2 linked regions of the Macaca mulatta genome follow. The protein of the gene in region 2 interacts with the protein of the main gene of each other region in a pairwise test. Links are inferred from orthologs where the notes say so. Each region holds a gene or a part of one and is shown on either strand. Other genes may lie near its edges.

What was found. The genes of interacting proteins can lie anywhere in the genome.
Region 1: the proteins of NUP62CL (region 2) and AGR2 interact in binary tests that used the Homo sapiens proteins (3 or more experiments, as listed by UniProt). The two-hybrid records come from large-scale screens. The link is inferred for Macaca mulatta from reciprocal best matches to the Homo sapiens genes NUP62CL and AGR2.

Annotation. Positions count from the first base shown.
Region 1 is NC_133408.1:111,469,726-111,473,381, reverse strand, and holds part of AGR2 (anterior gradient protein 2 homolog precursor), read right to left. Parts: intron 3,322-3,656; 5' UTR 3,315-3,321; coding exon 3,176-3,314; intron 2,903-3,175; coding exon 2,839-2,902; intron 2,719-2,838; coding exon 2,666-2,718; intron 1,336-2,665; coding exon 1,262-1,335; intron 1-1,261. UniProt on the Homo sapiens protein: Required for MUC2 post-transcriptional synthesis and secretion. May play a role in the production of mucus by intestinal cells. Proto-oncogene that may play a role in cell migration, cell differentiation and cell growth. Promotes cell adhesion.
Region 2 is NC_133426.1:113,956,521-113,960,176, forward strand, and holds part of NUP62CL (nucleoporin-62 C-terminal-like protein), read right to left. Parts: intron 2,259-3,656; coding exon 2,123-2,258; intron 1-2,122.

The sequences.
Region 1 (3,656 bases), on a different chromosome or scaffold from region 2:
AGAGCTGCTTCAGGGGCCAGCTTAGGAATGACTTTGCACACCTGCCATGGTGTTTTCCTTTGTTCAGAAATAGTTAAGAACCACTGGAGGGATGTTACAAGAGACAATGTGACCCCAGTCTGGTCTGTAAAGCAACTACTCTGACAGCCATGTGGGATTAGACAGGGTTTATCTTGTAGACTGGGAGCCATTTAGCAGTATTACAGTAAGCTAGGGAAAGTGAAAGAGGCTTACTAAAATAGTGGTCCTGAGTTTATGGAGAAGTGACTAATAGCAGGAATACTTGGAATTTAGAAGCACAGGGCTTACTGAATGCTGTAGGTGAGTAGGAGAGTCCAATCTAGCACAGTACCACTTTCAATAAAATAGGGAATAGAGAAAGAAGAGCTATTGGAAAAGCGCAAACCAAGATGATTAATGTGCAGTGAGGAACATTCTGAGTTTAAGGTGATTATAAGATATCTGGAATATGGTTGGATAGACAGGTTGGATATTGTTTCATGTTTGGGTAAGATGTAGGAATTATTAATGTGTCAGAATTGATTAAAGGCAGTTGTAGATGAAGTTGTTCACTGAATACAAAATATGGAAAGAGAAAAGGGTCAAGTGGAGATTCATCATGTCACTCACATTAAGGAGTAGGAAGAGGAACCCATGGAAGAGAGGCAAGGAAGAACTACTGGTGTGAAGTGCTCTTTCAGGAAGCCAACCTGTGAAGAGGAAGGGCAGCGGGGCTCAAAAGGACATATGACTAGGTAGAGTCATTTTTTGTTGGCTTTCTTTTAGAGGGAACATGAAATGTTTGTATACAGTAAAAAGAACTTGCCAAGACAGAAAGCTTGAGCACCATGAGGGGTGGTGATGGTGAAGTAAGGTGGGAATGCATAAAGCTAAAGCACAAGAGGCATGATTAGAGTTGGAAAGCCAGAATGCTGTCTCTTCCTGAGAGGTGACCAGGATCAAGAATGGGTGTAGAGAAGCCAGGACTATAGAGGGATGGGCTCAGCAAGTAACAAAAACTTTCTAGCAACAGAAAAATTCTGACTACAGGACAGAATTTTTCAGACAAACTAAAAACAGACATGCCAAATGGATTATTAACAAAATGAAATATCTTTTTTTTCTCTCTAATCTATGAGATGGGATATTTGGAAGCAATCCCAGTTAATGCGGTATGACTAAGATGTATAGGAAAAATGAATCATCTATTTCAAGTAATGAGCCATAGAGAAATGTTAGTAATGATGAAAAGGAAACTTACAACCAGATTGAGGAGGACAAACTGCTCTGCCAATTTCTGGATTTCTTTATTTTCAGCAAACACTTTCTTTAAAGCTATAATATAAAGAAAAATCATTAAGCATCCATCTTAGCATTGGTTAAAAGCTTTGTTCTATTTTAAGTTAAATTGCATTTTATTTATTTATTGAATTGCATTTTAAATACAATATTCTACTTTGGCCTTTTAGCAAATGATTAGTGAAGTAATATCTATGGCATTGACTACCTTTGCTTTTTATTCACTCATTCATCCATTCATTCATCCATTTATGTTTTCTCCAGCTCATATTTATTGAATGGCTGCCATGTGTTAAGCACTGTGTTATACACTAGGGATAGTACAGTGGGAAAAAAAAAAAAGCATGTGCGTTTTTCATAGAGCTCAAATACTTGTGTGGGAGACAAACCATAAACAAAGAAATAAGTAGATGATAATTTCAGGTAGAGATATGTACTTTGAAGAAAATTAAAGCAAAGGGTTTAAAAACTGTGAGCGGTCCAGGCAGATCTTCCTGAGGGGCTAACACTGAAGTGAGGGAGTGATCCATTCTGGGCTAGGCCACTGGGCAGCGGAACTGCAAAGCAATAGCTGTGAGGTGGGAATGAGCTCAGATGTGGGAGGAGCAGCATGAAGGCCAGGCTGGAGAGGGTGAAGAAAGCAAGAGGAGAGTGGTAGGAAGGGAGAGATAGCCAGTGGCCTGATCCTGTCAGCCTCATAGCTTGTGGTCAGGAATCTGGATTTAATTCTGTGATAAGAAGCCACTTGAGCACGTGAGTGATAGGATCTGATTTACGTCTACCAGCCTCACTCTGGCTTCTGTGTGGACTTGGCTGTAGGGTGGCCAGTTAGGTGACTGTTATAGTAGTCTAGACAAGATCTGATCTTGGCTTGGACCAGGGCAGTAGCATGGAGGCAATAGGAAGTGGTTGGATTTGGGCTTAGTGCAAAATGAAAGTGTAGAGCCCCTTGTTGAAAAATTACTAAGACTTTTAAGACAATGACAGCAGAGTTTAAACCAAGTGTGGGAACCTTCTAAGCTTGGGGCCCTGTGAGATGGCACAGGCTTCATGCCTGTGGATCTGGGGCTGGTTTAAGGATATATTTTGAAGATAAAGCCAGTATTTGCTGGTGTATTGAATGTGGACTGTAAGAGAAATCAAGAAGTTGAAGATGAATCCTAAAGCTAGTTTTTCAAAATATGTACCAACGGTTATCACAAAACGTGGAGATATTTGAAGTCACTTTTAAATATGTTTTTACTATAGGAAATATTCATTTTTCTAAATGCAACTGTAGCTCTAAAGATACAAACATGAGTGATCTGAACCCTGGCCCTAAGGCTAAAAGCCTATAAAGGAAATCATATTTAGAAGAATAAATTACCTTGACTGTGTGGGCATTCATCCAAGTGATGGATAATCATCAAGGGTTTGTTGCTTTAAAAGACAAAGAGAGATGAGACAAATTTTATTGAGTAAGATTTCACATATATCTAGATGTCAGTAGGTGGTGCTCTTGAGAGCTTTGAGGGACCTCTGAGTAACCCTGATCTTTACCTTGTCTTGGATTTGTATAAAGCTTCTTCATATGTCTGAGTCCAGATGAGTTGGTCACCCCAACCTAGAATGAAATGAATCAGTATATTTGAAGCTTTTCTAATTCACACCCAAAGCTGTTGTAAAGCAGTGGTAAAGACTTGGATAATAGAACTGATACTAAAGAAGAAGAAAACCCCCTAGAGAAAGTAGAAATAATTATAAACAATGATAAATCTAGAAGGAACACAACCCAAAATAACCTGGCACCAGGTTAGCACCAGGTTTAAGCACCAAGAGAGAGGAAATCTTTTCCAATTAAGTAGCAGTTGGAAGCCAACAAGAAGCTGACTCCTACCTCTGGAGAGGGTCTGGGGCAGTTTGGGTCGAGAGTCCTTTGTGTCCTTTTTAGCTCCAGGTTTGACTGTGGTATCTCTGGCCAGAGTGTAGGAGAGGGCCACAAGGAGCAAGAATGCTGACACTGAAATTTTCTCCATGGCAACTCTAGTATGGAAAACCAACCAAAATCAGTAAACAAAAATGAACTAGCAGTCTTCAGGGTCTGCAGGTTGCCCCACAATGGTGGAATATACCAGAAACTGAGGCTCTGCTGAGACTGGACATATGAGATTGGAGTAAACAGCTCTGTTCTGTGGGATTTTCCTAAGAATACAGGTGGTCTTTGACTTACAATCGAGTAATGTTCCAATAAACCCACTGTAAGCTGAAAATATTGTAAGTCAAAATACATTCAGAGTAGTCTCTCCTTTCCCAGGGTTTTACTTTCTGAGGTTTCAGCTATCCACGGTCAACTGCATCCAAAATAGGTGAGCACAGTG
Region 2 (3,656 bases):
AGAAGAAAACTACAGACTAATAACTCTCATGAACTTAGACACAACAGTCCTCAAACAAAATACCAGGAAACCAAATTTTTAAAAATGTATCAAAAAATTATACACCATGATCAAGTGGGATTTATTTAACATATGCAGGGCTGGTTGAACATCTGAAAATCAATCAGTGTAATCTACCACTTCACCAAGATAAAGAAACAGAATCTTAAAAGACTATCAACTGAGGCTGAAAAAGCATTTGACACAAATTGATTTTTGACAAAGGTGCAAAAGCAATTTGGGGGGAAGATAGTCTTTCAATAAATGATGTTAGAAAAACTCGACATCCACAGACAAAAAAAAATTAATCTTGACCTAAACCTCACACCTTATATAAAAATTGACTCAAAATGGATCACAAGCTTAAATGTAAAATGTGAAACTATAAAACTTTTAGAAAAACACAGAAGAAAATCTTTGGGATCTAGGGCTAAGAAAAGATTTCTTATAATTGACACTAAAAGCACAATTCATTAAAAGAAAATGTGATAAATTGTAACTCATTAATTAAAGGTTTTGATACAACAAAAGGACCCTGTTAAGAGGATAAAAAGCCAAGTTACACAGTTAAAGAATATACTTATAAGCCACATATCTGACAAAAGACTGGCATATAGAGTACATAACAAACTCTCAAAACCAAACAGTAAAAAAATCAAATAATCCAAATAGAAAATGGACAAAAGATATGAACACACATTTCACCAAAGAGGCTCTACTGATGGCAATAAACATGTGAGAAGACTTTCAACATCATTAGTCATCAGGGAAATGCAAATTAAAACCATAATGAGATATCACTTCACATCTGTCAGAAGGGCTAAAATAAAAAATAGTGACAACACCAAATTCTGGCAAGAATGCAGACAATCTGGATCACCCATACATTGCTAGTAGGCATGTAAAATGGCACAGTACCCTGGAAAAGAATTTGACAGTTTCTTAAAAAACAAAACAAACAAACAAAAAACATGTAACCACCATACCACCCAACAACAGCACTCCTAGGCATTTATCCCAGAGAAATACTTATATTCATAATAAACATGTACACCAATGTTCACACCAGCTTTTTTCATAATATCAAAAAAACTGGAAACAGCCTGTATGTCCATCAACAGGTGAATGGTTAAACAAACCATGGTGCATCCAAAATACCATGGAATACTACTGAGAAATAAAAAAGAACAAACTATTGATGCTCATGACAACTTGGGTGGATCACAAGGAATTATGCTGAATAAAAAATCCAATTCCCAAAGGTCACATATATATGACTCTATCTACACAACACTCTTGAAATGTCAAGATTATAGAAATAGAGAACATTAATTGTTGCTCAGGGTCAAGGAAAGGAGGGGAGTGGGTGTGGCTATATAAGGGCAACAGGAGGAATCCTTGTAGTGATAAAACTGTTCTGAATTTTGACTATAGCAATATCAATATCTTGGTTGTGATATACTATATTACTGTTAAGATGTTATCACTGGAGGAAATGATATAAAGACCATACAGAATGTTGTGTATTATTTCTTACATATACATATGACTCTACAATTATCTCAAAATAAAAAGCTTAACTTAAAAAATGAACAAATACTAGAGAGAAACATCATATACAGGCTCCAGAGCCTGTATATCCAGAGTTTGACTGCCTGAATTTTAATCCTGGATCAACCATTAACAAGTATGCAACTATGAGCAGATTATAAAATCTCTGTATGCTCTCGTTTTCTCACCTACAAAATGGGAATGAAAATACTGCCTACCTCATAGGGTTACTGTGAGGATAAATGACATGATGCTTGTAATGCATTGTCATCTTGCCAAACATACAGTAATTACACAATAAGTGGTAGCTATTATTCGTAATAGTAATGATTCTATTATAATGATATTCAGAAGGCAAAGGTGTGCTGTTAGTTATTCAACTTCCTAAGCTACAGAAATCTTTCTCTTAACTGTTCCCTCAACTCAATCATTTAGCTAACTTTCAAATATTATTCTAAAGTTATCCAAGCAAATGTCTTGTACATGATAAATAAAATGAAACACATGCAAGTTTTTAAATAAATAGGCTTACCTAACAGTTGAAGTATAAGGTACAAGGTTTTCAAACCCTCTTGATGACAGTTGGTTTTGGTTCACAGTAAAGCCACTGGTGATTGTGGTAGTAGTGTTGGTGGTGAAAGTGGTGGTGGTAGTCGTTGAAGTTGTAACTGGAAAATAAAGTGTATAATGTTAGTAAGAAATGAGAAATTGTTTCATTTAAGCCTTTATCGTTCAGATTTTAAATTATGGAGGCATTTTTAAAAATACAAATTTGAACTCAAAGATGCAGATTTGAATTCAACACTGTTGTAATATGAAATAATAAATGGCAGGCCAGGTACCTGGATTAACTTTCCAGCTGAAAACTAAAAATCCTGGATAAATTCATAGAAAAATAAAACTTCTAACCAGCCCAATAACCATGAAAGAAATCAAATCAGTCTTCAAAATTCTTCTCATAAAGAAAACTCCAGTCCCAGATGTCACTGCTGGTAAGTTTTATGAAACTTTCAAGAAAAGAATAATTGCAATTTACAAAAGATCTCTGTACATCTATATCTTTGCATACTTACATGACTGTATCTGTGTAATTAATTCCTAGAAATAAAATTTCTAGATCAAAGTGTCAGCATGCTCTAAATTTTAACATAACTTGCCAAATTGCCCTATCTAAACGTTTGATTTTGCCAGTTTATGTCCCTATCAATAGGAAAGAATGCCTATTTCTTTATACCACAGTCAATACTAGGCATGCATTTTTGCAAACCTTAGTCAAAAGCCTCTCAAAGCTTTATCTACAGCCCAGACTCTCTCTTATGTGTCTTTTTCTGTTACACCCCTATTAGAATGTCCTGCTCTCTATAGATAAAATCCTAAGTATCCTTCATGGCTTGACTCAAATTCTTTGTTCCCCATATTTATCACCTACTTCTCTCCTACTCATAGTTCCTTTGGTTTTCTAAATTTCTGCAGCACTTTTGGGTCTTATTACACACTGAGCACTTAATGAACAATGCACAGAAAATTGTGGCTGCTAGGGAACTGGGAAGGTTTTATTTTCTTCTTTTTGGTCTCGGTATTTTCAAATGTTCTTACAACTAGTAAATGTTGCTTCTGTAACAAGGAATCTGTTATGAAAATATAATGTACATGATTGTTTGTTTTATGTTAGCTTTGCTTTCCAAATTAGCAATAGTTTCAGATTAATGGCCACACCAGATAAATTCATAAACCATGGTGCCTGCTACAACCACTGACTACTCTGGCGGAGGCTGGCCTGAGGGAACATTCCTGCTGAGGGAACAAGCTCAAATACCCATTCTTTGTTCCAGATAACTGTCCTTTTTGTTCCTGGTTCACAGTTGACTGGGCAGGATGGCCAACTGAAGGATGGGAAGCCATCCAATGTACTACTAGCAGCCTACCTGAGGGTCTGGCACAAAAAGCTCTAGCGAAACAGGATTAATATGAGTCAGAATTTCATTTCCAAAAATTTAGCAATATGGAAAAAATCTGACTCTAGGCAGATACTGGGAAATATTTCCAAAAGTATAGAAGGAATCCAA